4 linked regions of the Drosophila melanogaster genome follow. Changing the gene in region 1 together with any one later gene gives a genetic interaction. Each region holds a gene or a part of one and is shown in the gene's direction. Other genes may lie near its edges.

The links.
Region 2: of zip (region 1) and sds22, changing one suppresses a phenotype caused by changing the other (phenotypic suppression), as found in Drosophila melanogaster (one study listed by BioGRID).
Region 3: of zip (region 1) and raw, changing one suppresses a phenotype caused by changing the other (phenotypic suppression), as found in Drosophila melanogaster (one study listed by BioGRID).
Region 4: of zip (region 1) and kermit, changing one enhances a phenotype caused by changing the other (phenotypic enhancement), as found in Drosophila melanogaster (one study listed by BioGRID).

What each region holds. Positions count from the first base shown.
Region 1 is NT_033778.4:25,007,220-25,015,770, reverse strand, and holds the start of zip (zipper), read left to right. Parts: upstream 1-4,307; 5' UTR 4,308-4,429; coding exon 4,430-4,459; intron 4,460-4,562; exon of another isoform or gene 4,563-4,671; intron 4,672-5,154; coding exon 5,155-5,391; intron 5,392-8,551. UniProt on the Drosophila melanogaster protein: Nonmuscle myosin appears to be responsible for cellularization. Required for morphogenesis and cytokinesis. Necessary for auditory transduction: plays a role in Johnston's organ organization by acting in scolopidial apical attachment.
Region 2 is NT_033777.3:17,388,163-17,395,272, forward strand, and holds sds22 (sds22), read left to right. Parts: upstream 1-3,431; 5' UTR 3,432-3,545; intron 3,546-3,594; exon of another isoform or gene 3,595-3,618; 5' UTR 3,619-3,766; coding exon 3,767-4,747; 3' UTR 4,748-4,858; downstream 4,859-7,110. Other genes in the region: Brf RNA polymerase III subunit, read right to left, coding at 2,334-2,438, 2,498-2,866, 2,928-3,000; lute, read left to right, coding at 1-222, 281-818; CREG (cellular repressor of E1A-stimulated genes), read right to left, coding at 5,329-5,438, 5,511-5,592, 5,654-6,097.
Region 3 is NT_033779.5:8,735,482-8,743,844, reverse strand, and holds the start of raw (raw), read left to right. Parts: upstream 1-3,184; 5' UTR 3,185-3,431; coding exon of another isoform or gene 3,432-3,460; intron 3,461-8,047; exon of another isoform or gene 8,048-8,363.
Region 4 is NT_033778.4:8,152,120-8,160,202, reverse strand, and holds the start of kermit (kermit), read left to right. Parts: upstream 1-3,548; 5' UTR 3,549-3,789; exon of another isoform or gene 3,790-4,148; intron 4,149-8,083. Other genes in the region: CG8708 (uncharacterized protein), read left to right, coding at 1-148, 202-636.

The sequences.
Region 1 (8,551 bases):
CGGCACATTAAAAGCGGAATAAAGACAGCAATAGCAAAATAATAAAATAACAAAATAAGCGAATGCCGCTTCCAACCCCCCGGCTGCCAGTCTGCAGGATGTACTGCCCGAAAAATAGAAGCCACGATTTGCGAGTGGCAACAAGAGCAGGGGCTCACGGCTCCGGGAACGTGTAATGCTGTAAGCAGGGCCAGACGCCGAGCAGTGCTGAGCCAAACCACCCCTGGGTGGCACCGGCATGGATGGGTTCGGCGGCAGAGGACAATGCCACAAGAAGAAGCAGCTGCTGTTAGTTGCTCACAGGCTTCTATCGCCTTTTCCGTTTTTCCTTTTTCGTGAGTGTCTCTGCGCGTCATCGTCGTCCTCGTGCCCATTCTTGGACTGAATCCGGAGTCTCCTTTACAGCGCCGCGCTCACGCTCGTCTTGTTCTCGTGCACTCGACAGGCTGTAAGAAAAGCTTGAGCCAGAAAGCGAAATCCCACAGAACGTGATTCATTCACGAAATTCTCCCATAGCGGCTCAGAAGTCAAGTCCTGGAGACTGCGACCCGCTCTAGTTTGTCTGGTTGCCTCAAACCACGAATGGCATTTAGGGTTTTCACCCAGACACTAAATCTGCGTGCAGAGTGAACCCAAGACTAGACTAAAATAGAGGATGCTGCAGATGCAATGCCAAACTATTCGGATATTATTTTGCAATAATGTGCTACCATCGATGATATTCAATCATAATCCAATACCCATCAATTTAATCCAATAAAGACGCACATTTCAAGATCACGGAGAATAAATGCCGTAAACGGAGCCGATTCAATCACTTTAAATAGCAATAAATGAGCATTTATAAACTGAGTCATGATCGCGGGAGCCGATAGATGAGAGGAGAATTCGGTTCAAGGTTCCCATATACATCTTCGATATGATGACATCACACGCCACCACTGAGCCAGGAATTTGTGTGTTTCAATTAGGTTTAATGTATTGTCATCTTCGCTCGGAAAAAAAATCTACGAATGTACAAATCAAATTAAAAATGTTCCAATTTTTTCTGCAGGAGAAACAATTTAATATATTCCAATATGCTTCACTATCATTTCCTTGTAACCCTTAGTCAAGAAAACCCCCATCAACCCAACTCATCAGCCCCACTAAAATTGCCTTGTCGACGGAGTGCACGACCTCTCATGCCTGGCGTCCATCAAACAAAATCGATTTTCATTTTTGAGAGTGCTTGGAGGTCCCGGAACCAGGCCTACATGCACCATTCCGTCAAATAAACAAAGCGAATCGTAGTCAACCTACCGCAATCCGAAACCCAACTGAGCAACATCGGTCTTTATGCATATATCTATGCGAGCTTGGGAGGCTATATGGGCCATCGCGTGCTCGACGCAAGTTAATTGGGCAGAGAATAAAATTTCATAATCAACAACTGCTAGCAATGGGAAATTTACGACGTTCCCCCGAGCTGTTGCTCTCCATTTTGGGCCATTAACTAAAGAACTGATGACTCATCGTGCCTCCTACGAATCCTGCGACCTTCAACAGGATCTGAGAGAGACCTCAATGCGGGCAACGGCTTCGAAACGAATTAACTGCCAACTTTTGTTCATATCCTGAATCCTGATATCAAGCCAAGGTTTCGTTATCCCCTTCGCTGCCTTCGCAGACAATTGCTATCGCCCCGCGTCCTTCCCCCTTTGACTACTCCTTGAGCATTTATTTGTTTTCGTGCCGGTGTCCTTTGCCCTCCAGCTCAGCTGTGTGCGTGTGGCGTCAAATAGGTTTCCTCCCCAGGAGCAGGAGGTCGGAGAGGAGGCGTCAAACGAGCGAACGACAACTTGGCGCCATTTCAATGCCGCCAAGCTTCAATGGGGCCCACTTGAGGCTATGAAATGTCAGATATGCAGGGGACGTTCTCAGAGTTTTTAATATCCAATCATGTTACCAGGCAACGTAAATATATTCAGCTGTTGAAAGTGTTCATGAATGAGTTGCACATGTACATTACATTTCTGTCACTAAGATCGCAGTAACGAGGTGTGATTAAAGCAAGAAGTAAATATATTAGCAAACATGTGTTGTTTGGATGATGATATCACACACCATTAGCACCCAGAAAGAACGGCAACAATCGAGTGCCATCATAAATCGGTCTAAAATTATGTAAATTGGCGAAAATAAGTAGATGACGAGAGAGGGAAGAGCGATCTCCAAACAAATCGAACCCAAGCAGAAGCATCAAAATTTGAATATAAAACAAGTTTTGACGGCGGACTGAGGAGGAGTCGAGAACTTTGCGAGTGGACCACGCAAATGAGCAAATCTAATATAAATAAAACAACGAATACATATGATCGCAGGAGAGCTTACAGAGATCTGCTTTTCTATCCTGACCAGGCGAAATTGGAACTGACTTTAAGGGCCTCCATGTCTGGTCATTGTGAAACACCCTTTTGAACAGGACACAAACACAGCCGAGTTTGCAGGGTTTTCAACTCGATTAACATCGAAAATCGATTCTTGCCCTCGGGGGGCAGCCCGGAAGCACTTACAGCTCTGCCGAGTCGTAAATGCAAAGTTCCACGGCCCCCATTTACTCAACGACGTATGCTTATTAGGTCGAACGTGCCCTGTCACGGGACTCCGGGCCAGGAAAGCCGTCTGCGGCATGGTTTCCGGACGGGCCCCATCCGATTCCAGCCCAGTAATAAAGGCCTTTGATTATGTTGCCCCGGGATCCCTTGGGAACGGGCAAACCTTGTTGTCTACCGCTTGTCTGGTCTTTCATAATTTACAGCCTCCCAAAAAAGCGGAATGGAAGCACCGACGCAGTTCTCTGTCCTTTGAAGATTTTGCAAGTTTAATTTATGTGGGTTTGTTTTTTCTTTTCTACTAGCAGTCTCAGCGCACATTAAAAATTCATTATCAGCATAAAGCTGGAAGGTTTCGGGAAGATGGGGTGGCTCAGCTTACCACGACAATTTTGTGGAAAACCAGGAACTACACGTGCAATTATTATCGCTGTCTGACCCAGTTGCTTCAAGGAGAAACGATGGCTTACCTGAATCGATAATTCCTGGCTGCACGTTAGTTTGTCATCCAATGAATCCTATTCGGAGTCCCTCACTTAGGATTCTGGAAACGAGAAACCATAGACAAAACGTGAGAGTTTTGCGGAACTAGTCGCGACTTCTTCTTATCCTTAACAAAGCACTCGCGACAACAACAATCGATTCTGTTCGTTTGCAGTTATTTCTTCCGCAAATGCAAATTGAATTCGCTATTGCGCTCTAATTTCGGCACATACACACGCATACGCACTCTCGCCACACATACACACGAACACAGAGAAACTGGTCAGCAGGCGAATGACGTCATTGCCAAGGATGCTGCGCGCATCTCAAGAACGCTGCCAGAAGTAGCACTTCATTTAAGGAACTGTGTTCTTGCTCTTAGTTGGAATCACTCAAGTCCGTTTCCCCAGAATTAAAAGTTCGCAAGGAGCCCGCCAGATATTTTATTAAAGTCAATTTAATTGCGACTGGCGCCAAGCACTCACATCTGGCTGTGATACTCGGAACTGGACTTACTGATTCAAGCGCGGACCTTCACCGTTCCTCGAAAAATTCAAAATTAACTGAAAGTATCCGCACATCCGCGCATTAACCCAACGGTTTATTGAAGTTTGGTTTTACCAAGAACTGATTCGAAGAGAGGACAGCACGCGAGACCCCGCAAAACACCAAAAACAAAAAGGCGGTAAGGTATTTTGATGTTGTCGTGCGGTCCAACTAAATGAACTACGTATATGTCAAAAGTAAAATCGACATATACGATACTTAGCTTGCACTAATTTGACCAATATTATAAATTGAAAAGTGAGTTGGAAACATCCTTTGCTACATCTGAATATGCAAGTGAGTGAAATCGGCAAAATAATTTAATCTCATTTCTATTCCGGAAGTATTCGATTCCAATCGACACCGCTTGGCTTGAAGCCGCGAATATTTCGATCTTAAGTGCAGTCATGAACCAGAGGAAGCTGATGCGATACTTTGCTAAAAACTTAGATATTCTGTTATAGAGGAATACAATGGCCGACCTGAAAAAATGTTACAGGTGTGTGCTTTAAACAAAATCTAGATGCGATCCATATGTAGAATTTTAATCAGTGTTGACATATCGATGTATGTGTTTTCAGAAAGCGCTGCCGCGGCCGTCGTGTGAACTACGACATATCGATGCATCGATATGTCCGAATGGAATCGGAAGGCATCGATTACCATCGAACTCGAAAAGTACTCGGTCGGCAAAACGGCAAGCGGCGAAAAACAGTGAAAAAAAAAGGGGGAAAGCGAAAAGACGTGCTCAGGAACTGCGGTCGAAGTCTTTGTGAGTGTGTGTGGGTGCAGCTGTCGCCAAACAAATGAAAAGCGCCTGGCTTGCATTAAAATCGGTAAAAAAAAAATCGGAAATGTGCACAGGCATCCAGCGAATGCAGCGACCTATTCGCCGGCGTCGGGACGCCGCCAGCTGAAACTGCACGGTCGAATTTGGCTGCATTTGCACAAACGCTGTGCTGACGCGGGGAAATGGGAGCATAAAAACCGAAACTTGTGTGCGAAATATGCGAATATGCGAAACCTTGGCTCCCAGTGCGATCTATGTGTGTGTGTGTGTGAGCCGTGCTGTGTGTCGGTGTTGCAGAACGAACCAAGTGGGAAGCAAAGCGAGAGAAGACGAAGAGGAAGAAAAAGAGCCGCTTGTACCTGCTCCGAAAACTGAAACATCCGAAATCGGAGGTGAAAAGGTGCTCTGATAGTGTTTAGCTGCAGTTTTAGGAGATGCAAACTGGTTAATTGCTACGTAACGCTATTTTTCCGCTAAATTACTTCACCACCCCTTCTTCTACGTTCAGCGGTGACTTTGGCTTAAGAAAATGAAAATGTGTGGCCATATTTTTTCCTCTCCGTCTTTCTTTCGCCTTCGCGCTCTCCCTTTTGAAACTCTCGCCGCGCGCTGTTCTCGCCGCCTCCGTTTTGTGCCGCACTTCCGAGATAAAGAACGCAAACGCGAGATAAATGCGAAATATTGTATCTGAGGAGCGAGGCAACATACTCATTGTTCTCATCGATTTGTTTTGTCCGACAGAAAAGTGCATTGCATCCGAAAAGCGAATATCCAGTATCCAATATCCATTATCCGAAAGCAGCTAATTACCGACAGACAAGGAATTATTTAGAGATCGCCGCCAAAATGTCGGAGGAAGTAGATCGCAACGATCCGGAGCTCAAGTACCTCTCGGTGGAGCGCAACCAGTTCAACGATCCGGCCACGCAGGCCGAGTGGACACAGAAGCGTCTGGTGTGGGTGCCACACGAGAACCAGGTGAGTCTACTTAAATGTAATGCCTACCCGTAGAGCATGTTCCTACTCTGGACGCAACCTCTGCTACGGGATTTCTACCCCGGAAGCCACGCCCGTTTCAGTGAACTACCTGAATAGACCCTATAGATAGCCTAAATGCAACAGGAACTGCTACAACTGAGATAAAAATACAGTCGATACATCATAACGCTGTTTATTTCGTGAAGTCGGTAGTCATTAGCCCATTATGGTTTTTTTTTTTTTTTTTGTAAAATTACCAAATGTACTTAATTTTCGTTTAATTTTCATATTCTTTTGCGTAAAAAATTGCTACATGTAACTATCTAATATCTAAGTATTACTTCGCAGTGAATGGTTATTATAGAACATAGTGTGTTCGACACATCGTGATAATATTTTAGCCCTAGCTGTACGTGCTCTAATCAATTTTCACAGTGTTTGTCCCCGGCTTTGCGCTTCTTATCAGCCAACACCTTTTGAGCCATCCGACTCACTCATCGATTGGTCATGAATCACGCTTCACCGATCCGTTTATTTTTAATTTTGAACAGGCCCAACTTCTTTGAATTTTCATTACATTCGCACCGCGGTGATAAACTTGGGTAAACATCCGTTGGCGTCGATGCTGAATCACTCTTTTCTCCTGCGCTGATGCTGAATTAATCTCACCGTAGTAGTGTGACACATTTAACTTCTTACTTGGTCAAATCCGCGACCATTTGGTACCAATTTGCATGCAGACGCTCTTCGACTCAGTGACTCACCTCCGAGGGAGAGTGGAAGCAGGAATGGCCCCAGTTCGCAGTTCCCACTAAGAGCGGGCCAAAACAAGTTTTCAATGTGGCTAGGTATTTGTGGTGTGGACTTGCTTGTGTGGGGCTTTCTGGCCTCAACCACACAGCCAGGCCAGCAAAGAAACGAGCCGAGATTGCGCCAAAGAATCGCTTCCCTCGGAGTTCGGGCGCCCGCTCTTGGCCTATAAATTCAAATTCAAAACTTTGGTCGACTGCTAGCGATCAAGCCTTATGATAACAAGCCGATTGTTTTGCTAATTTCGGTGTGGCTTGTTATTCTCTTCTTCAGTTTAAAGCGATTTCATTCAGGTGTCATTCAACTGCATTCCAACGACTTAATTTCAAGACCATAAAAAACGTAAACAGATAAAATTATCAACCGCTCCTTTCTCCCCTGGCTGCCCGTAATTGCTGTATTTGCCAGAGATAATTCCGTACATAGAATGGTAGCACTTTTGGGTGACTTCGTATAATAAAAGCAACATCGAAAACAAAAGCCAACAACTTCACATTTTTGTGTAATTACGCGATCACTTTAACAGACATTTACTTTACAATGGAATCTCACAAAAAGACAACGGCAGAGATAAAACCCAGAAATAAAACGAAAATAACGAAACGCTCGATTGTCATGAGTGGTCCGTCAGATTGTCTAAAGGCTAAAATTTCTTTGCGACTGACGAACGGCACATGAGACGGGTGGAAATAGTTAAGAAATTTGCATATAGCGCAACTGTTGCTCCGCTGGAATGTCCACAGATACAGCTACGTCTTAACGGGAACGGACCCGTCCAAAAGGGTATTCGCCAATTGTGTCAACACTCGTTTCGTTTCCAGCAACTGTTCCAGCTTTTCGAAATGTAAGCGAATTCGCTGAATAATGGCGGCGTCAGTCCACGTACGTGATATCCAAATTCAGTAATTTACTGGTGGATACACAAGGAGACCTTTTGTTCGTGGCTACATTTCGTTTCATGTTGTTTGCTGAACAGCGATGATTCATCGAATCAATTGCACAGAGAGCAAGTTTATTGGTGGGGATTAGATATATTGTACATTGAAGGTTTCGGGTTATAGGTTAATGTATATTTGCGATCTTGAAACTATTTAAATGCTTTTAATAGTTCATAGCTTACTTTTCCATTGTCCAACGATGAAATTGAAAAGTTAATACTTTGGAATTCGTGAACACGGTGGAAATGTGTTTACACCTCTTTTCTTTTTTCCCTCTTCTTCAGCGCTAATGCTCTTCTTATCCGCTGTCTTTGTTCAGGCATTCCTGAACGCCTCACTCCCGAGACCAATCTGAAAACTTTTTATATTGTTAGCCAAATTGAAGTCGGCTTAACCTTCGTCATGTCCAGAGAATCGATTCGATTGTAACGAACGGCGATCATTAGGGGGTCTCTGCTCACCCACACATGCTGCGTTTCATACTTCCACGCTTGTATGTGTGCTGCTCGTATTTATAACCAAAGAAACCACTTTGGACTTTGTTTGCGACCACTCCCACTCCGCTTCCGCGCCCCCGCCCTTTGGCGTGCCGCGATTGGTTCTGGCGGAGATGCCCGTGCCGCGCGAGTGTGTGTTTTCTTTTCGGTTACGGCAATGACAAACGTAGCCAGCTTTCGACTCTCGTCCGTCCGGTTTACGGTCAACGAACCTGCGCCTCGTATCACGTATGTGTAATATACGCTTCTTACCCTCTCCATCTCCACTTCCATCCTCAACAATGCATATACGTTGATCGATTAAGCGAAGGAATAAAATAAAAGAGTAACAAATTTTAATGGGCCCATCGAACGTTCGCATTTGGATCGTGATGGAAAAAGGGGGACCGGAGACATCTATTCATTATTCTGTTCATATTTACATTTTCGGAATAGTGTAAACAAAAGAAGTTGGCGAAAAACATACGCTCCCAGAGAGTAAATAATGGCCACAGATATATCTCAAAATCACCAATATTCTTATGTGTGCTGTTCGGCCGATACCTTGGCATGTTCAAGGTTGCGGTTGGGCACCCAAAAATAGTCAAACCCAAATCGGGGGCTCCCCTCTGGAATGCACTCCTTCCCAACATTCTTACTTTGATTCCCGCCTGTCTGATCATCACCAACATCTAGGTGTTGTTGATATATTTTCTTTGGTTTCGCTTCACCGATTGCCTGGAATGCCCGAGATGCCGTTGAGCGAGAATCCGAGACTGATGACCTCATATGCCCCAGCCTCTCGCGGCTGCCTCGCTGGGTAACTTCGGACAACTTCCCTGGACCGATAACTCCAATTCCTCTCTTGTGGGGCATTCCAATATCGTGATTCACGCACCAACTGTCGCAGCGGCTATAGCATTTTCCGATTCGGCG
Region 2 (7,110 bases), on another chromosome or scaffold:
CGCTAACGGCGTGGCCCAGACAGGCATTCTTTCGTCGCAGGAGACGATCGACATGTTCCTGCACTTCACTGCCAAGATGAAGCCCTCCCTGGGCTTTCCCACACGCTCCAGGGCGGGATTAAAGACCCAGGTCTGCCATCGCTTCCAGTCGTGCGCCTATCGCTCGAACCAGTGGCGCTACCGCGGGCGCTGTGATTCAATTCAGTTTTCTGTTGATCGAAGGTAAGTTCTATCTAACAAATGGTTATTGGATTAAGGTAATTAAAACTGAAAATTTCAGAATTTTCATTGTGGGTTTTGGACTGTACGGCTCGTCGACTGGTGCTGCCAACTACAACGTAAAGATCGAACTTAAACGCCTGGGCCGCACGCTTGCAGAGAACGACACCAAGTTCTTCTCGGACGGATCAAGCAACACGTTCCACGTCTTCTTCGAGAATCCCATCCAGATCGAGCCCGAGTGTTATTATACCGCCTCCGTAATTCTCGATGGAAACGAGCTTAGCTTCTTTGGCCAGGAGGGCATGTCCGAGGTGCTAATGGGCAATGTGACATTCCAGTTCCAGTGCTCGTCGGAGAGCACCAACGGCACCGGAGTTCAGGGCGGCCAAATCCCAGAGTTAATCTTCTACGGACCCACCACAGTGACAGCAATGAGCTCGCCCACCAATTCACTGTGTCCCACGCCAATTGGTGGCAGTTCCTCCAATGCAGGAGCGACTTCAACCGCAGCAGCCGGAACAGCTGTTCCGAATAGCAGCAATGGATCTGGCAATAACGCCAACAGTTCTGGGGAGGATGGCGACGGAAGCACCTGATGCGCACAGCTCTATTGCGCCGAGTGGCAGGGAGCCTGTTACTACCGCCAACAGCAGCAGCAACAGAGGAGACCAACACAACAATACAAAACACAGCAACCGCAAAAGATACAGATACAAAATCGAAACTCATGGGTTTTCAGTGCAGCACAAGAAAGTAAATTGGAGTTTTAGGCTCATATATATATATATATATATATATATATACCAAGATAGTAGAGTACTCTAGTTTTCATAATAGTCCTATATATAAACATATATATACACGTCAAAGCATAGACACATATATATACACCTCGGCAGTGCGTTTTAAAACTCCAAGACGATTGTCAGTACGTGATCATCTCAAAAAAAAAAGTCAGCCGATGCAAGTCAATCGATATAGGAAATTTGCTATAATTGGAAAGTTTCCTTCGATATCCCAAGTATGTTAAGCAAGTGAAATCAATGGTTTTGCAGTTCTAAAACGCACTGCACATAGTCTGTTGGTAATGCATATAAAGATATTTTCAAAATCGAAAAAGTTGATCATATACACTCTTAACTTTATAGATAAAGATTAGTAGTTGACTCGAAAACTTAATACGTTCCACGACTTAAGAGGGCGGGATGGGGTCATATGGACGCTAATAGAGACGCATAGATACATGCAATAAGTGAAAATCGGGCAATCAGTCAAGCTAGCGTTAACCAATATTCTAAAGACAGTTAAAGGGAGAGTGGACAAAAGCTAATACGATATATACCAAACATATTTTTGCCAGCATATACCTAACATATACACACATCTGATCTGATAATGATAAACTATAGTCCTAAACACTTCGAGGGAGAATAGGCCATGTTAATAGTTGCATACGACGAATTTGAAACCCAAGTTAACCAGTTAACGAAATAGCAAACAAAAATGAAATCAAGGGATCTTGTACGAGATGCGCACAAAATCCCCCCTACATATATATTCAAATATTAATCTTGTAGTACGCATTATATCTATTTCGTAGTTGTTCCATTATATCTCTCATACATACACAATATGCCTTTCTACTGATACTAAGCCCCGTACTTCTCCTGTGCATTATTATAGCCTGCTGAGCGCAACAATCAGTTTTACGTTTGTATTTCGGATTTCTTTGGAAATTGTACTGATTTTTTGCTTTTGATAAGACAATTATGGTTTTTATATACATATATCTATATAAAATGTTATCCTGTATTGATTATGAATCTATTACCATTATGTACTTTAATCAAACAAAATACATTATTAGATTTTTGCGAATTTACTTTCTCAGAGTTGAAGATTTTGGATATTTTGACATCACGTAAGTAGTGCATAAAGAAAACAGGAACGAGTAGAGTATTGTTAAATACCTGATAAAAGGAAAGCAAGCAAATCTAACAAACCCAACAAAATATTTTTAAAAAAACAAAAATTAAGAGTGGAGCTATGGCTTGACTTGACTGTGGATTGGGATTTAGGTGTATAGTTTAGTATTCACAACGTTCACTCACCCAGAGAAGGTATGTTGATACAAAGGGCATGCGATAACTTTAAGTAGGTACGACCAAGCTCATAGGAACAGATTTGCTGTACGTCGCTGATGTCGATGAGGAGATCTGTGAAGATATGAGCAGTCAATAAGCTACTCTTTAGGCAAAATGAATGCACTACTCACGGGAGGTGCCCTCTGTCCTGCAGGTCATGTACACGCAAGCGGCGTAGATGTGGGTGCTCTTCCTACCGCGGGTCAGATGCCTACCCAATGCCATCTTGAAGAAATTCAGAGCAGTATCTGCATAGTGCTGGGATAGCTGCAGCTGCTGGCAGAGTAGTGTGATGTCCTTCTTGGCCTTTTTGATGGTCACCTCGCGGGATTCGGTGCCCGATCCCACCTGAAACTTGCCGTAGCCATAGTTGGTGGCACCGCCCGACGACTCGGCGGACACAAACTGGCCAATTGCGGCTGCTCCATGGCCAACTTCCTCGAACTGCACTTCGGAAACAATGAGGGAATCCTCCAATACCGAGCCGCAGTTCATGCAAACTACAGTGAATGGGTGAACGTCGTTAGTGTCATGGATATGGGTCCTTGGATGTCATTATACCTCGATCTCCGCGAGCATTGTCTTCCTCGATCTCGTTGGATCCGCAATTGCGACATTTTAGGCCCGTAGACATGATTGTTTGTTCTTTGCTTTAATAAACACTGCCACCTGCAACGCTTCGTTTTTATCCGTTGTTTTGACAGTTTAAACTACTTGTTTGCTGTCATTTGAAAGCCATTTTCGAGTCTTTTTTAAACAATTTGCAATTTGTTGCCAATTGAATCAACACGCTTGGAAAACATCTGATTGAACCCCGCCGGCGTTGCTTAACACTGATGATAGAAGAAGAAATGCTAGAGATGCGCATTTCTCAATCAAGAACGACATTGGCACAACTGCTTGAAAAACTTAAAAGAGATATTAAAATTGTAAAAATTACGTAAAGCTGGTTCCAAAAATTATGTTCTAGTTTATTTGGCAAATTATCAATCAATATTTGTTTTTCATTTACATTGGAATATATAATAATACAGGTTTAGCATCGTGTTCTTAGGTGCACATCTCTAGTAGAAATAGTGTTAAAGTGCCGGTAAGGTGACTAAGTATTTTGTTGACATATTGAACAAGTTGGACCAAAAGGAGTATACAGTCATCTTGGACTTAACTTATAAATATTAAGTAAATATTTTAATACATATTTATTTTAAATTTACATATTTATATTTACCGTGTGTTCTTGCTTTTGTAACAGTGTCAAGCTTTGACGTCATATTTAAAGAAAGTCACCCCACTTTGTTCCACCCTGAGCAGCGGAATAAACAACAAGTCAAGTCAGCGTTCAATTTTCGAAAGTCAACTTGAATTAAAAAAAAAGAAAAGCCGGTCAAAATATATCAGTCATGGGCGATGCTGATCGTGCGATGAACGAACCAGAAGCCGCGAAAACTGTGTCCGGAATCCAGGTGATTCCCGCCGAGGATGTGGCTTCCATTGAGGATATAATCACAATCGATCCGGACTGCTACGAGCTTGATCTGAATCATCGCCGGATCGAGAAGCTGGAGAACTTCGAGCCGCTGACTCGAATCGAGCGCCTGTTTCTGCGCTGGAATCTGATCAAGAAAATCGAGAACTTGTCCAGCCTGAAAACACTGATTGAGCTGGAGCTGTATGACAACCAGATCACCAAGATTGAGAATTTGGACGACTTGCCCCACCTGGAGGTGCTGGACATTAGCTTCAATCGTCTGACGAAGATAGAGAACCTTGACAAGCTGGTCAAGCTGGAGAAGGTCTACTTTGTGTCGAACCGGATAACCCAAATCGAGAACCTGGACATGCTCACCAATCTGACCATGCTAGAGCTGGGGGATAACAAACTGAAGAAGATCGAAAACATCGAAATGCTCGTGAATCTACGACAGCTCTTCCTGGGCAAAAATAAGATAGCAAAGATCGAGAACTTGGACACATTGGTCAATTTGGAGATACTCAGTCTACAGGCCAATCGCATTGTAAAAATCGAGAACCTTGAAAAGCTTGCCAACCTCCGCGAACTCTACGTTTCGGAAAACGGAGTGGAAACCATTGAAAACCTCTCGGAGAACACCAAATTGGAGACCCTCGACTTGGCCAAGAACCGGTTGAAGGGCATTGCCAATCTGGAAAAGCTGGAACTGCTCGAGGAGCTGTGGCTGAACCACAACGGAGTCGATGACTGGAAGGACATTGAGCTGTTGAAGGTGAACAAGGCGCTGCAGACCATCTACCTGGAGTACAATCCGCTGGCCAAGGATGTTCGCTACCGCTCCAAACTGCGCGACATACTGCCGCAGCTGCAGAAGATTGATGCCACCCTGTGCAAGGTGCCCGGTACCTAGATGGAACCACTGTAAACCCCTTGAAAGACTAATCCACGGCGTTGCGCCACTACATTTATATCGATTAACTTTGAAAAACTGCGTTTAAAATATACATACAAATTAACCACTAATGGTTCTATCTACGAATTGGTGGGTGCAGTGATTTAGTTTGCTTTCAGAAGAAGGTATATTTGGATAAGTTACTCAAAGCGTGAAGTTTACCTAATGAGTCAGATAAATTATCCATCTAGGCTACCGCCTAACATATAAAACTAAAAAGTATTTTATATATACACATAAATAATGTAAATTGAATCTAAAAAGATGAAAACATTTTAGTTAAACAATTCTGGTTTCTCTTAAACCAAAACAATACATTTCAGTATGTCAGAGTACATTCAACGGAATGTATTTTTATTTATATCAAAGTTATTGTTCTATCGATTGAAATCACAGAGCTCAACTGATAAGTGGCTTTCATAAAGGCCTTTGTCTTCATTCTTTCCCTTTGTGGCAGACATGTTGTGCAAATATGCTTATCATTTCATTTTTTGACAAAGTATATGAGGCGTCAGTTGGATTGCTTTTGGAGGAGTTCATCAATTCGAAACAGCGTAATAGTCAGAGGCGCTCACTTTATGAGGACCTCCATAGAAGTCCAGAACAAAGATATTGCTAATTTCCAGTTCGCAAAGGTAGAAATTGTGAGCTGTAAAAGAAACAACGTATTTATTATTAGTACATACATATCGAGCTCTTAATGAGGTTCGCTTTCACCAACCTTTTACCCAATTGATGGCAGCTGGATGACGCCTCACATAGGCATCCAGCGATGGCTGATAGCTTTTGTCGCTAGGATCCATCTTCAAATGAGCCAAAACATTCTTAATCCATTTTAAATAGGATTTAATTCATTTTTCATACCTTCTTCACCTGTCCACTGATCATGGAACGGGCACATGTAGGCTCCATGGGATCCTTTCCGCCCTCCTTGCATCTTAGGGTCTGCTCGTCACTGAACAGGAGTGTGACCTTGTTGTCCTTCTGCCAGTCGGGACCAGTGAAGTCCAAATCGGTTAGCAGGAATCGAATACGTCCAGTGGACCTGTTATTAGCATCGCTGTCGTCGATGGAGATAATGTTGACCATGGGATACCCCTTCACCCGTTCGTTGGTGGAGAGACTTCCCACAGCCGCCCAATTGGCGCGATGGACCAAATCTCTGGCGATCTTGGCGTGATTTAACTCTTGCTCTCGCTTATATTCTCTAATTATACGCTCATCTTTCCGGCGGGAGTAACCGGAAGAGGGGTCCAGGCTCACGAGGGCCAAAATCAGGGCGAATAGTAGGGAGTGAAAGGTTTTCATGGCTAGACTGCAAGTATAACGATGCGGTTCTGAAAGATCACTGAACACTGGACAGCTGACGGGTCAGCATTTATGGACAGGGAATTCGCAATGACTGGCTTATCTTCCGGTCATCGTAATCGCGTATAATCCGCACTTTTAGTACTCTCTCTGATTCACGATGTAGGCCGTAAACAAAGCGGACTACGGATAGCGTTGACCTTTTACGCCTCTTTCATTTTCTCTGTGCGCCGCATTCTGCCAGTAATGCCCATATATATATGTATTTATGCCTACCTGGAGGATCTGGACTAATGGCCCCTGTCGGTACTTCTGCTTTGCGATTTGTTTGTCAACTGACTGGGCTACTATTGCGCCTTTATTATCACCTGCTTCGAGTACAAAGAACCACAACCAGCTGTTTTCAGCAGGTACCTCGGATGCGGTGGGGTGTATGTGACGCATATGTTCGTGCATTTTTCTCAGTTCTTCTCAGTCTCTCAAAAATCCATTAGTGTCTTTTATTACAAGATGATTTTAAATGCGCCCCATTAACTGGTTATTTTGAGCACTTAGTCAGTAATGTATGCAGAAAGCAGCGATAAATTGTAAATAAAAACGAATATCTAATTAATTAAAGTTTGGACTTTAGGAATAAGAATAATGTGTGTGGTAAATTTTAACTTTCAAAGAAAACAGCTGCCGTAAAATTAAATCACCATTGAGATTAAATAGTTTGATGTAAAGGAAAATAAAATTTAAGAATTATTTTAACAAATTCCTTTTGGGTAAATTGGCAAGCCGAGTAAAAACGTAACACCAAACTAGTTAGCCATTCGTAGTCCGAGGGTACCAACCGAGCGATCATCCAATAACGGTGGCATACAGCATTGCCAGCTTGAATAAAGTAGACTGCTATAAAACTAGGCTCGTATAAGCAGATCTTGAGCAGAGATTGGTGTAGTTTAACATTTTGTTTTCTTTTATTTTGCAAATATGTAGGTATGCTTAAATATGATTTTTGTTTTTAGGAG
Region 3 (8,363 bases), on another chromosome or scaffold:
CAGGTGAACAGGATGTACTTGGCCACTGTGTGGCTGTCGCCTTCGATTGGACAAATCGGTTAAGTTAGCCGTGGGAAATGCTGCGTTTCAAGTGGCCAAGTGGAAAGGAGTCACAATTGGTAAGAAAGAAATGGAAAGATATTAACATTGGCTACTCAATAAAACTCCGTTTATGCAATTAAGCAAGTTAATACAATAATTTTAAAAGATACAATCTCATTGCATGCGAAATCTAGTAATTATATTGATTATTCAACCATGTCACCGCCACACTTTGCAGATTAAGGCGTTTCCAACTGCTTGTAGCTACACAACATAAATACTATTTAATCAGCACACACACGCGTGCAGAATTAAGAAAAAAAAACGAAATCTTTTTGGCTAATACAATTAAACTGATAACTTAACTAAATCAAACAAGTCGCTCGACCAAAAACACCCACTGAAAAGTGTCGACCCTTTTTTTTCCCGCTGCCTTGTGGTTGTGGCGCGACTTAATTCCAAGTCCCCTGTTTTCCTCGAACTCGGCGAAGAGCTGTGAATCTAGAACTGAAAACTTATGTCAGTGGCACGCGTCTGCGGCACGTGACCCCGACATGAAAATCACTCTCAAGATCGCTGAGGATGGCAAATGGATAGGGCTGATGGTGACGAAGGAACTGGGCACTGAGTTCTGGGTGGTATTGTCCAAGTGATGGAGGTGATGAATGCCTGTGTGCAGATGCTTTTAAATTTAAATCGAATCAAATTGATTTGCGCACAGTTCCAGTTTCACTTTTTTACCCACGACCGCCTTACACTCGAAGAAGTCTTTAACTTAGAATCAAAGAGCAGGTGAAAAAAAAATTATTTAAAAAATATATATGTATATATTTTTTTTATATAAGCAACAATGTTAAATAATGTATTGTAGATATTGTAATAAAATATTATTTTTCGTATCAATTTGTAAAGTTTTCTATTTAAGATTTCGAGTTTTTCCTAGTAATATGTGGTATTAATCTTGGATATTGACAGGCACAATATATTCTGATAAAAATACTTTTTAAAACATAATTTTTTGAAGTGTAGTATCAATTGATATCGCCCTTTTTTGGAAAAGAAGAGTGCACCGTGCTCTGACCACGTCCCAGCTCCATTGTTTAGCCATTTGACAAGTGTTTTGACAATATTTATTTGAGTTGCTACAAGCCACGGCAACGGCCACGCCCACAGTCCCGCCCCCTGCGGCATACCACCCCCGCCTCCCTCTTCGCACACTAGAACCACTGCCGCTGGGTAATTTGATTTCCTCGACGCTGCCATCATCTGCATCCTTGACGTCGGACACGTTTCTGCCTAATGGAGTTGCTCGAGTGGCGTGAATTTCAATTAAATTAAATCAAAATGTTGCATTTTTTATTAAGCCCATTAGCGGCACACACGGAAAACCCGCCCCCTCAGAGGACCGCCCGCTGGCCCCTAGTTGGTTAAATTAAGTTAAGATACCACCTCGTCAGTGCGAAAAGAACTTGTATCTTAATGTGCATAATGAAGTGCCAGACTTGACTTGCCATCCAGGAACACCTGGATGTGCCAATATAAATCCGGTGACTGCACTGATCCTACTGCTGCGAGGAAAAGCTATCGGGAAAATCCCAGTTTAGATGAAAATGGGGCCATTCAATAACTGAATTGCTATTTTTGCTAGCAAAATGATTTTAAGGGATTTACTTATTCAATTCATAATTATTTATAAATAGCGAATTCTTAATTTATAGTTTTATATATACACACCTTTTAAATGATTTATGTAAGTTTCTTATTAATAGATATTTATTTACAAGAAAATGTTAAGGAAAAGGCTGCTGTTTTTCCGACTGTTTCTGCGAAAAGCCAAATATCAGTGCACAAGAAGAGTTGGTGGGCGAAGAAAAGTGGAAGTGGAGTTTCCTATTGTTGCACATGCATTAAGAGTAATGCTGCAGTGCTCGGAAAATGCTGGAAAGAGGGTGAAAATGCTACTTTGAGTGGCAATAAACAATGCATAATGAGTTGAGAGTCGCGTTATTATTGTTGCAGCCCGTGGCTGAGACTGTTCATTACTCAAACAGGTAATTTAAATTAAGCCAAAACAATACGCCAAGGTGGCATTTAAAGTAGGTGCAAAACGCATTTCGCCATTAGGAAATTGCCAATTAAGAAGCAAACACTTCTGGGTCCATTCATTACTGCAACACTTGCAGGCAAATCATTTAATTGTCTTTTAAAAATATACTTAAATCAGCAGAGGCGGCAAAGTATTACAAGTCTTCATGCACTTTCTCAGATATGACTAGCCACAAGCACTTAATTCTTGATATCACTTGGAAGTGGCACTTCCAAATCAAAATTATATACATTTAGTAAATAAGAACTATTCGAAAAGACATTTTTCATTTAAAAAGGGAACATTAAGATTTTACTAATTTTTCTATTATCTTAAAGAAAAAATTTTCTAATTTCCACATTCCGTATTTTGTTAATACAACATTTCATTAATAATAATGCAGATATACCCACGATGTCAGGATTTTAAAATAATCTTGAATAATTTGCAAAAGTTAGATCAGAGCAAATATAACATAGATTTAAATTTGTGATACTGTTACCTAACAGAATTTTACAATGTTATTGAAATGTTAATTTTAACACAAAAAAGTGCTCTTCTGCTAATTTTTACATGCACCCAAGACAACAACCATCGAATACAACTGAGTATACGTTCGTTAAAATTTTGGTGGCAACGCTTGTATTCCTAATCTATTAAGATGGCAAGGCTCGTTATCTGAAGAATTTACATTGGCAGCATCAAACATCATTAACTTTGAACTGTTATACAATGGTGCCAATGTAACTTTTTCTCGACAAATGAATTTTGTACTTATTTACCCAAGTGTATATGGAAACAATCAGGTACCGAAAATGTGAACTCTTACAATATATTTTACCTCTTTTTCATCTTAAGTTGTTTTTTTATAAAAGATATCAGCACTGCTGCAAAGACAGCATGCTTTAATATATAATATATATTAATTAAATAAGTTTCACAGTTTTTACGTGGTGTTAACCAACTTACAAAATTCACTCACAAATGTTAACATTCTGTACAAGCATTAGTGTTACCAAATACTCGATAGTATTTTCGCCGTTCCACCAGCTGGTCACACCAGAGACGAATTTAGAAATCTAAAGAGAACCCAACAGTTTCCTAATGCAAATACAATAAACTAATTGTTTAAAATGTGACAACAGTGAACCAAATGCTTGCTGAGTAATAAACCAAAGGATGTTTTGTTTTTTTCTAAAACGTGCCAAGTGAATCGGCTCCACGCAAATGAGAGTGCGGTCTGAAAACAATGGAGCTGCCGTAAAGAATTGATTAAACAAAATAGTCGAGAAGAGAGCGCAAAATGCACAAAATGGTTAAATTATTCCTCAGGTAATTTCAGTCCCAACAAAAACAGCATGTGCCAGATTGCTTTCGTGCTCTTATTGCTGTTGTTGTAGTTCTAGACTCTCTCTTTGCGCTTTAATATTATGAATGACGTAAGCGCGCCTCTTTGGTAGCAATACAAAAGCAATAACAACAATTTGGTTTTGTTGCTTTTGTAAACAAGGAAAATAACAGAATGGTTTTGTACCGCTCGCGTGTGTGTGTGCATAGGTGAGTGGGGAGCTCACTCACCTATGCACACACACACACAAACGCAGGTAAAAGTGGCGTCGTTGGATTTTTACTTGGAAAACGTGTTCGAACTATAAAGAGAAATAGTAAGAGAGAGCTGAGCAGTCTAGCGCTCTTTGCAATGTTATTTCTTTTTTTGGTCAATGACCTAAGCTTTTTCGTCCGTTAGTTGAATTCGTTTCTTTCGCCAATTTCCGTGCTTTTGTGTGCGAGTTAAAAAACTTGGTCTATTTTCACAAAAATCATTGTTTACACTTTGTTGATGTGTAGGTAATTTTCCCAGGCTTTCTTAGCCTCATTTTTCAAGAAAAGGAGTAAACACTAAGTTGGAGGCCAAAGTTGTGAATGGTAAAAAAAAAACGTAATTTTTAAAGAAATTTAAAAAAAAAACTGCCAGCAGTAAACAACGTACAAATCAAAAGAGAATAATTGAGAATACTATAATTAATAGTGTTGTATACATGAAATGTTCAAGAACTTTATTTCCCGAACACATAAAGCATGAAATGAGTCTTCATAGTGTTTCCTTATATCTCTGAAAACAAATAGTATATCACTCGATCATCCAATTGCCTTGCTGTTGTGACATCTTGACAGTAATTAAGTTTATGCACTCAATTGTCACAAAGCCGGAAACAAAAGTGCACAAAGATGTAACATGTTGGTACATTTTTTGCAATGACAACAGCACGCAAATTAGTAAACATTACCGGCCAAATAACAATGCACTGTTTGGAAAATAAAGTAAATATTATGAAATAAATATTATTGTTGTTATACAAAACAGAAAGCAATTACGGAGAAGCAGTAACTGCAGCACAGGTATATTTGCATTCGTGATAACTTTTTGGTAAATAAATTATCTAAGCAATAAAAATGTTTTAAACTTGTAGGATTTTATTTTGGCTTATAAACATAAATACACTTAAAAATAAGTTTTAGGTCGCTTGTTTCAGTTTGTTTCAGAATGTTTTAAGAGCACCGTATAAAATTTTCGAAATTTTCCACAATCTTGAACGGTACTTCTGCGTATTAAGATTAATTGTTTGGCCTTTTATCAGTCTATTTCACTGGAATAAATATTTAACTAGTACTCAGATTTTGTAGGGCACTCTATATGCGGTGTACTTTGCTGACCGAAAAAAAGAGAGATACAAATGTTGAGAATGCGAGGGAAAACGCTTTTGTGATCTTCTTGATTTAAAAATTTTAACGCCAGTGCTGACCGAGCAATTAAAATGTAAACAGGCGGGAAATGAATAAGCGTGCCAGGGAAAAATAAAATGAAATCCCAAAATATTTACAATCATGCAGCAGCAGTTGCACATAAAAACCCAGGAAGAGAAGAACGGAATCTTAACGTGTATGCTTTCGAAAATATACTTGTACCTTAAAATGGCAAATTGGCAATAAGAAACCGACGCGACATTAATATGGCTAGGTAAATACAAAGGCATCATTACCGAAGGTCGTTTTTGTTTGCGTGCGATAAACTTTTTTTCTTTCGACTTTATAGCAAATATTCACGCATACAAACAAACCCGAATGCTTCCCTGTGTTTGCGATTGGTATTATCTGTGTAGGCCTTTGTTATCCAACCATTTGCTTATCTGGGCACGGCTGTCAATGCGTGTGTTTGTGATGGATACTTGATTGAATTGTTGTCCGTATGTTAGCGCCTAAAAAACAATCGACAGCCGCTTATCAGCTGGCAGAAACATAAATAAAATTTCCTCAAACTGAAGCCGAAGGTAAAATGCTCTCTAAATCAATTGCTATTATTAAATAGTATTAGCTTAAGAAGCAAGAAGGTTACGTTTCAAGGGTATACAATAGTCGTTAGCCATGTCATCGTAAAGTCACTGCCCCTCCTCGCACACATTCAAACAGTTTGTCAATCAACCGACAATCGGTTGCCAATCAAACAACAAAAATTCGTGGGTGAGGTGAGTTCTAGATTTTCTTTGGTTAGAGGATGGGAAAATCTGTCTGAAAAGTGGGACAGCAATTGACTGACTAATCGAACACATTGTTTAAGTCAATTATTTCCATTTAAGCTACATGATTCGTTTCGAAAATATTTCACAGTATATGGATGTTTTGAATACTTAGTAAAAATATATAAAATTCGCAATACTTACTTTCAATGTATTTAAAATATCAATTGGATTGGACATAATTTACACTTGTTGCATTCCTTTAACCTTATCCACAAATTAACAAAGTCCAAATTGTTTTCCATTTGAAGTACAAATATTATTGTTTTGTATTTTGTTATCTTATCTAATTCTTCTGAAATGACAAGTTATCCAATAGCAAATATTTGATTACTACAAACTATATTGTAATTATGCAGTAATTTTGTTTTTCCCAACTAAAGATGTTAGGAAAATAGAAACAATCACAACTAGGAATCACTTTCTTATCTGCATCTTCTGTTGTGTTTTGTGTGTCAAGTATAAAAGTATCAACAATATGTTATCCCATTTTATCTCCTCCAATTAAATACCCAAAATAATGGCTACCATTGTTAGTACGTTCAAAAAGTGTAATCCGCGATTATCCGAAACCGCAATTAAAAATGTTTTCACCTTGTTCTCAACCCGTGGCCAGCAATTAATAAGGCTTAGATGGATTTTTGGCCAGCATACAACCCCAGATAACCCACAGTCGCATGGCATCATCGCGAAATGCTCATAAAAGGCGCGTCTATGACAGCATCTCCTCCGCTGGTGCCGTGCAAAATTGAGTATTTTTGGCCAAAACAACAAGCAGGGCAAATAATACACAAAAAAAAACCAACAAAAACCTAAAACAAAGAGCCCAAGCAAACGTCTTGGACATGTGCGCAAAAATCTTTTGAACTTTCGCATTCGAGGCGGGCGAAACAAGTGCCAAGAGCAAACCCTGACATACATTATAATTTGTAGCAACGCCCTCTTTTTTTCGAGACCGATTTTTTTTAATATAGATATATAGTTTTTTTGCGGCTATTTTGTTCACCTACACGCGCGCCTAATCCCATTTCGAGCGGCATCAATAAATTGTCGGCCTGGCAGATATAGCCAGATTTCTATTCGCATTTTTAGCTGTTCAAATAGGTGAGTTTTTTTGTATAGTATATATGGCCACCTATTTGGTAAATAGTCTTTAGAACGCCCACAACAGCTGTTGACACTCACCCACGAAATGGAAAAGGGAAACGCTATGGAAATAGCATTACCTGGTATTCCTATTTTTGGCCAATACCCAGGTGGATCCACAGAAAAAAGTCAAATTAGTGCCGAAGGGAGTCCCATCATTAGTTAGTCACCAAACTCTCGGTCAACTACAATCTATATTCGCATTTTTTCGGACATGAGTAACCGTGATAACTAGTAATTGGGAGCAAATCGGTTTGGACCCAGGTGACTAAGTCACTTCGATCCATAGAAATGTAAATGCACAGTCCGTTTAGGAAAGCTATGGTCTTGCAAACCAATCGACCGTTAATAATGAGGCCTCACTGTTCATTAACCCATTTAAATAAATGAATTTTTGTAAGTTTAACTCGTAAAATATTCTTGAAATTTAAAACATTAACGAAGTCCATTTAAATATTAGTATAATAAGATCCTGGACTTGGCAATATAATTTTCAAACGCACTATAGATTATGTTGACTTTCATTTGAGTTTCCATTTGATGGCAAAAACAAAAGAAAGCTTAAAAGAGAAAGTATCGATGCAAAAACAATGGTATCAATTTGTAAAATTATGACTTAAATCAAAGATCTGATAATGGCAACGTAATAAAATGGAATGAAGCAAATAGATATATTTGAATATATTGGGTAGATTGGGGTAAACGCAACTGCAGCTATGTTGAAATGATATAAATTGACTAGGTAATACCTGATAGTGAACCGTTTTCTAAATTTCTTAATTTGTCTTTTTTAAAAACCTTTTTTTTATTAAACCAATTTAAGATAAATTTATAAATAATTTGAATGTTTAAATGACCACCTTTATGTTATACCTTAATACCTATTATTATTTATTTATTTGGTGTGTAATCAAATTATTCCATCGCTTTGAATGACTTTTTGGCCTGGTCAACGAAAATTATAAAACAATCGAGAGTTGCCCACGCGCAAAGTGAGTTCGGTGGCGTCTTCCTACTCAATTAGGCGGCATTGGTCGAATTTTCGCCTTTTGATTGAATGTTGTTTGTTTTGAACTTGGGAGATGGGCTGCGAATAAAGAGAGGGCTTCTCTTTTGAATCGAATTCTCAGATTCTCCGCTCTCTGCGCCGCGGCGATCGATGGTGGAGGTACTTGTGCTGGGTTTGTTGAGCGTTGCGACTCATTCGCTTGCGTTCATTCGACGCGTTAACAACGTTGCGTATACGCCTCGTCGCTCGCGCTGCATGAGTGTTGGTGAGCCGTCGCCTACGTGTGTGCGTGTGTGAGTCTCTTTTTTTCGAGTTCTCCTGATATTTACGAATATTATTCAGCCGACTTCCGTTCCGATCGCATATAAAACCGCGCCTGTGTGCGCGCCATATAAAATCATTTCTAAATTTATAAAAACAAACGCGTATACACACGCACACTTATTCGCCGCCAAAGAAATCAATTTAATTTGTGCAAGACGTAATGCCTCAAGATGTATATTTA
Region 4 (8,083 bases), about 17 Mb from region 1:
GGAGAACCTGAACGTCACCGCCGGCGATTCCAGGGACGAAATCGGTCGCGGTCGCATGTTTCCCTTCATACCGGAGCATCACTTGATCCCAGCCAAGGCGGATAAAAACTTTTGGTACTGGAACTACCTTTACTACAAGACGGATGACGTAAGTTTCGCCTGATAAGGGATAGGTATTCTTAACATCTTGTGTTCCGACAGGGTCTCGACTGCTGCTCGGACTTGGCCATCTCCTTTCACTACGTAGCTCCGAATTCCTTCTATGTCCTGGACTATCTCATCTACCACTTGAAACCCTACGGCCTACTGCGATCCCTGGAGCCTCTGCCCGCCAAACTCAAAGTGGGTCAGTTTCTGCCGCCTCCCGTGGAGGCCAGGGGGCGCCTGGCCAGTAACGAGGATTCCGCCGATGATTACGACAGGATCTATACGACCACGACCGAAAAGCCAAAGGAGCCCGATGCTCGGGAAATGGACTCCAAGGAGGTGGAAAAAGAGGATGCCAAATACAGGGAAAAGCTTTCAAAGGAGGACGAGGAACGCGAAGACTCGCGAAAAACTGACAATGATTCGGAGTATACTGAGGAGGAAACGGAAAAGCGTTCCAAGTCCAAGGAAACATCGAAAGAAAATTAAAATTTATTGAGTTTACTTGGCAGGCTTTGGAACTGAGCTGTTTCTGAGTCTACGCCGCTCATCCGGTTTATACATTTTAATAAAAATTTTCTTAGATTATTATTTTAGAAGGACTATTTTCAAATACATCATAATAAAGATAAAGTAAATGCAGTAATGGGAATGGTCAGATGTCAGTTCTTTAAAAAAATTAGTTGATTCAATTCCATGCTAAGTTGGGAGATAATCGATTAGCCAAAGGCTCGGAATTTTAAAATCCTAAACTGATCCTTTGGATTCGTAGGAGATTCCAGTCACCACATGGATATGCTTTTTCGGAAGTTGCATTTTAATAAATAACTAATTTTAAACATTAAAACTGCACTGCACGCACATACAAGACAACATTGCGTATACGTGATTATGAGTTACATTTTTAGGATCAGTACGTAGAAAGCAAATATTTTGAGGGGATTTATGTTTCAAAACATAGGATTGTGTTTTAATGCAATATGAATGATTATTAAACTGTAACATAATAAAACTAATATTCTATTTATAATAATTATATTATGCTTGCATTTTGTACATTGAGTTTCAAGGAAAATGGATTTCGTAATCAATTAGTAAACTAATATATTTCCAATAATTATATTATTAAATTATATTTCATTTGTATAGTTCGCAGCAAAATGGCCTATTGCACCTTTTGACCTTTTTGCACCTTCGGGCGTAAGTTTCTATCTTGCGATTACTGAATTTCGTATTAATAAGACATCTTTGGTCGAAATGATATGCAATTTGAATGCGATTAAAGATCTATTCCTGACATGAGACCAATAATAATGCCCATTAGCTAAATGAGCACATTGATGTCTCTATACATTTGTTTTTTAGAAAACTGTGTTCTGAATGCTCACTGAGTACTTTCGTACGCTCTCAGGGTGCGCTTCGTCACTACGTGAACGGGCGTCTACATCGATTAGATGATAAGTGAGGAAGACTGGAATGCCTAGATCGACTTGGCTAGTTATCCGGCTAAAAGCAAAAAATGAAGAGTGGCCCATGAGGGGATCGAACCCGCGACCTTCGCGTTATTAGCACGACGCTCTAACCAACTGAGCTAATGGGCCTTCGTGAGAGCGGCGTTCTGGGTTATCAATTTGGATTGGGGGTGCTTCTCTAAACACTCATATCGCTACTTATTTAAAGTCCGAATAAAGTGGATGTTATCTATGTATATACTGATTACCTTTTTGTATTCCAGCCTATTGGGTTATAAACAAATAGAAATATGTGTGAATATAAAATATAAAACAATTCGATTACAATTTTCAATTTCTTGGAAAGCGTGTTGCATGTTTTTTTATTCTTATCAGCAAAAAAGAAATGTAATAAGAAAGCCTGCTGAGACCACTTATTGCAATATCAGTCTTCGGCAAGTAGTCTTCTGAATCGGACAATGGAGTGCCACTAGACCATAGGAGTGCTTCTCCTGAGCTGGTTGGTTTGTGGCCACGCCTGTTATTATCCAAAACGATGTTTGGCCAACGATGGGAGTGCACCAAACCGGCGATTGGCATCGACCGACTAATGTATTCTGTGGACCCACTTAAGTGTGTTGTGAAATAAGGGCTCAAGTAAGTGAAATAAGAGCTCAAGTAAGTGCACTACAGGTTCACAGAGTTTGTACGCAGCTTGTATCCATTCTACCCCTACTACACCAGATGGAGAATCCGTCCCTGTCCTCGTTCTTTGGAGGAGGTTCCCTGATTGCCCCTGAGGTTGTACTAACGGCAGCCCACCTGTTGTTGTCTATACCTGGAGTCTACATTTGCATTTAAAAATGACATACAGCCCATCTGCTTACCTCTTCAAGGGTCGTCCATTGAGCAGACACACTGTGTGATTTCCGGATGGGGAAAGCGTTCTTTTAACGACTCTCAAATGTCGAGTATACAAAAGCAAATCGAGTTACCCATAGTAAACAAAGGAGATTGCCAGAATATGTTGAGGAAAACCAGGTTTCAGCTTGCCACCAGTCTCATATGTGTCAGCGGACAGAAGGACAAGGATGTCTGCGTTGGTGACGGTGGGTCCATCTTGGTTTGTTCCCCTGACGCAATCTTCGCTAGATATCACCAGGTCGGGATCGTGGCCTGGGGCGTCGATTGCGGCAGGCCAAACGTTTCCTCGACCTTCAAAAATGTGTCCATGTTCAGGAAGTGGATTGATCGCAACTTTCCAAGCAACTCGGTGGAACCGCTTAGGAACTGTATTCCTATCCACCCAAGAATTTCGTCCTATAAAATGAGATACATGTTGCTTTAAATCACCAAACTTAGCTAATGTAATTACATATATTGTATCAAATATATGTATTTATGAAATTAAATTATCAAACGGAGTCGATTTTAACCACCTGCTGAACTTCAGGTTAAATTATTTTTAAATTGAAGCTTAAGTCTTGGGTATAAATATTTATCAACTAAATTGTTATTTTTTGGTCGAGGAATGTCATAATATTGGGTGCAAGAGTTTTTTCTCTTAGACTACCATTCTGCTGATTGAAAGTATAATATATATCATTAGTCAAATGCAGTATGAGATATTTACCCCAGGAAATAAGCACATTTGTTTGATTTGTTCTTGTGTTCATTTCATTTCTTCATTTTCATTACAGTGACCTTATTAAGATTTTAATTTTTTATCCGTCTACAATTAGTCTTATTGTTGCTGGTTTTATATTTTCTTAACCAAAATAGTGGAGGCTAGTCAATGCTATACAAACTTGTCACGAAAACTTAAGTTCCTTTAAATCTGGTAAGTGCACCTTAACCGCCAAAATTTCAAACTCACCGAAAATGTTAAGCCACAAGTACTCAATAGGCCGATTGTCAGCATCGATGGCGGCATCGATGTTTCCCCACCGCGAACAGAGTGGCTGGCCACACTGGCGCTCAGCTGGCGCTCAGCTGGCGCAGTTGTTGTTATTCTTGCATTTCTACAGCGCGAGGTCCGAATTTTCGAGCGCAGCGCGGCCACAATTTTCCGGGCGTTAGTTAACCGAGACGACTAGTTTAATTAGCGGAATTGTGCGACGACGTCGTGGTTGAAATTCAATTTGAACGCCCAGGCGGTAGATCGGTAAAATCGCGACATCAAAGCACGAGAGTGAGTGAAAAGAGAACCCTGGAAAGTGGTCAATGTGTGTGTATTTGGCGAGCAGTGGCGGAGCACTGAAAAAACCAGTTAGCTGGCAGTGAAAGAGATTCAATAACGTGTTGGTGGGCAAAAGAAGAACAAATTGTTTCGAGTGTGCGAGGCGACGACGACGACATCCAACTGGTCCGGTACGAAGAAGTCCGCTTTCCTCGCTCATTAGCGGCGCTTTCCTCGGGCCCACGATCTGGAAGTCTGGAAATCGGCGATACCTAAAACCGGGCCATAGCCACCACTATCATTATCAACAAATTGATATACATATGCAATTGCAGCAGCGCGTCATCAGCACAGCGCCCATCGCCTAGCAGGTGCGTTCCGTACCGTCCGTCACTTTCGACATTATATTGGTCTGATCGGGTTTCTCTCTCTCTCTGGTGCGTGGTATCTTCTATGTATATACTATAACTATGCATACTATATATGCTCCGTAACAACACACTGCATTGTCTTTCGGGAATTGTTAACACCCCGCCCCGGTGGTGGAGCATCTTTGGCATCCATTCAGTCGGTTGCCCATTCATTTGCCTAACAGACTCTTTTCTGCGCCAACCGACGAACAAGTAAAGTGAAAGGCGGCGGCACGCGTTTTCCCATCTTTTGTATTGAATTTCGCTTCGGCAGCGAGGAAAGCGAAATCGTTCTTAGTCATCAGGACGTGTGGTGAGAGGAGGAGGGTGGGCCAAATCAACATGCAACCGCCTGGCAACAGGCAATGCGTCACAAAAAAACAAGGAATTTCAATTTCCAAGCTGGGATTACTAGTTAACTAAAGCAGACTGTAGTGCAGGGGAAGGTGGTGTTACCGGGGTAGAAATTGAAGGAAATCAAAGGCGATCGATAAAATAATAATATCGATAAACAACATTTGATGAGACGAAAGAAAAGATTCGTGGTTCAAGTTGTTTTACTTTCAGCCAGGCATTTTTAAAAACTTGGATGCATTTAAAACCGGCAAGACAGGCCAAAACGCTGTTGACCCACGGACCTTATCGATTTTTGCAGCTGCTGGGCGGCTAATCATTGGTTTTGTGGCGTGACAAGTGTTTCGGCACCACACCCACTGTCTGTATGTCAGAGGAAAAAAGCGTAAGCGGAAGTGATTTCATAGACCGAAACTCACCCCGAAAACTGAAACGCTGAAAGGGGCATTTCCGTGCTTTGTGGCCATTGCCTGCCCCAAGTCGCTAGTTCATTTTCCGCTATTATGTTGAGGTTAGGACTTTCCAAATCCATGTGATTTCCCAGGGTGCCGGCTTCTGTGCGTCGTCGCAAAAATATGCTGCACTTCGGGGGTGCAAACAGCATGCTTTTCGTTTTCGTTGAAGTTTCACGGCCGAATTGATTTTTCCAGCCTAGACATTACAAAATGCCTCGCCGAAGTGGCGATAATAAAGCGCCTTTTCAGTTTTGCAGCCAGCACGCACATCGGGGCATTTATTACCGCTTTTCCGTTTTCCCTCTTACAAAACTGTGAAGTTAATGCGGCCAGCACGTGGGTCTACGCACTGAGTTTTCCGTTCCTCAGTTTTCATCTGGCCAAGCACTTCTCAGCTGGCCGCCGAAAAGAAAGGGGCAACGAAAGACGCAACCATGACCAAAGAAACTCAAAACTCCAAACTTGAGCAATTTGTAGGCAAATTAAGGTGTTAACTAACCGTGAAGTTGGTCAGTGGGAAACCCATCGAAGATGCTCTAGCTTAAAGCTCATACAGAGCAATAAACAAGTGTTTCTTTGAAGATCTTCGATCTGCTCTTATAATCTTAGATAAGAAACTAGCAAAGTTGAACTTAACTGAGGCAGATAAGTATCTCTAGGTTTAACGAGTTATGATTTCTGGCATATTTCTCGCTGTGTATTTTCGGCAGACGAGCAGCTCGGAAATTGTTTGATCGATTCGATTCCTTCGTCCGCTTCCGCTCCGCCGCTATCGGCTGTTGCCTTTTACCCGCCCATTCGCCACTTGCTAACAGTTGTTTTCGTACGTGAGCAGCGCTCGGATAGGCAGATACTCCCCGTCAGATACACAAGATAGCTTCCTCTTCTGCCTGGATGCGATGCACTGTGTCCGCTCCGCGCTCTCCGTTCTCCAGCTCACCAAGCGGAAGCAACTCCATTTATGTAAATTGCTTGCGTGACATTTCAATGCGACGGGGCGCTTTATGAAAAGCTGGAGCGGCATGGTCCGAGCGGGATGAGCGGTGGCTGGGAATAATGGGTTGAAGAATCGTGGGTCTGGTCTGGTCTGGTAGCTAGGGCTGCCACGGGCTGCTCCGTCATGCCAACAGTTGGCAATCAGTTTAACTGTGCTTTTTATGGCCGTACTTTGCGCTTTTTATGCGCACTCATTGCCGCACATGTGCAATATTACTGCACTAACGTTTTTGCAATCAGTATCAGATGTACTCGGAACTGGTGTGAATGAATCTGCATGTTTTCCATCTGCGTGATGTTTCTACTCCGCTTTAATTATCCACAGTTCCTCAGTCGTTTCATATCATTAATACATGATTGGGCACAGCGATCAATCTTTTTGCACACTAAATACTTGTCTTTGCCTACAATCAGAAGTAATAGAAAGATCGGATTTTATTGTTTATCAGATACAAAAACTGGCGCTTATGTACATATATCTACAATTATTGTTTTTTTTTGCCACTTCCAGTTTTAATTATCCCGAATTTCCGCTCCGATTTCATCACCCGTAATTTGTGAACTGATGAAAACAATACAGCCTTCGGATTAACATATTTTGGAGAAACGTTACAAAGAGATAAAATTCATATTTGAGTTTAGATTGTCGGGCGGCGTAAACTTGGCCCAAAACAAACATTGCCACGGCTTTTCGGCTATAATTCGTTTGCTTAATTTGCTTTTTCGAGCTCGCAGTTCAGCGAGGTGAAACGGTTAAATGTTTTCAAAACTGCCCCAATGTTTTCCCTTCGCCATACGTAGATACTTAGATACATATGTATATACATACTTGACGTTGCGTGTGGTGCTCATTGTTGTTTGGCTGTGCATTATGCTAACTAGACCCTAATGTCGGTGCCCGGGTGTTTTGAGTGCTCCACATTAGTAGTTTTTGTGGAATATGCCCCATAAAGGGCCATTCGATATGTTTCAGCCAGGGCTGCGAGTTCATTGCACTGGATCATCGAATCGTGGAGCAACGACTCTGGTTCGGGACCATGCCAAATGCAAAATGTCAGCAATTTATGAATAATGTAGTGAGAAACACAGGAATCGCAGAAAACGTGATCGGAAAATGCCACAAAAACAGTGCATAAATAATACCAACATATAATTGGGCAGGGCGAAGCGACATTTAAGCTTTCGCTTCGCCCACAGTCCATCTGAATTATCTGTGGAAATAGCAAATTGGATACTTGTTTATATTAGCAGTGGGTCGGGTCTTCGTTCGCCAACTACAATCTTCGGTTTGTTTGTAATTTAGACTAACCGCTCGATGTCACTGTTTATTTATGCATTAGCATCACGACACAGGGAGATATTTTTATATATTGTCTTTCTAAGGTTTCAAGCTCGAATAAGCGATTATTACCTACAACACTGATTAAAATGTCATAAATATAAAGGCAAAACTTAAGTGATTTATATTAGTATACATAATATATGAATGTCAAAACTGATGGCTGTTCCACTGGAAATCAATAGAAATGGGGAAAGTAAATCTCTCTTCGAATACGCCAGATATTATTACATATTCATTTTATAATTATATTATAAATTTTGCATTTTTCTTAACCAAACGGACAACAATAAAGTTTAAACTGGATTAATAAAACGAACAGCTTTAAACTGAAATTTCAGTTTGAATATGTTTAACCTATGCTGAGTATTTTTCCAGTGCAGCGTTTTCTTCGATTTCATTAGATATGGCAAGCTCAATTTTCTGCTTGTCTCAGTGCCTTTGCCCACAAAATGTTGACTTTTCGAATTAAGTTTCACCGTTAGCAAAGATCATGCGGTCTTTCGCTGGATTCTCGCCTTTCGGCAGCGCTGCCGGCGATTTTCGCATTGAGTCGAAAAAATTGACCTAGTCAACGAAATGGAGATCTCCCCAACTGATAACTAGTTTGAAGAGCTTTTGCAAGCTTTACAAAAGCTTTTGCGCTCTCTTTGCAAAGAGAAAATGCTCTTAAAAATCAAAACTATTTTCTCTTGCGCTCTCTGCACCTCTAGTTTTGGCATTGGAATACACTACTTTTGGTTTTGTGGATA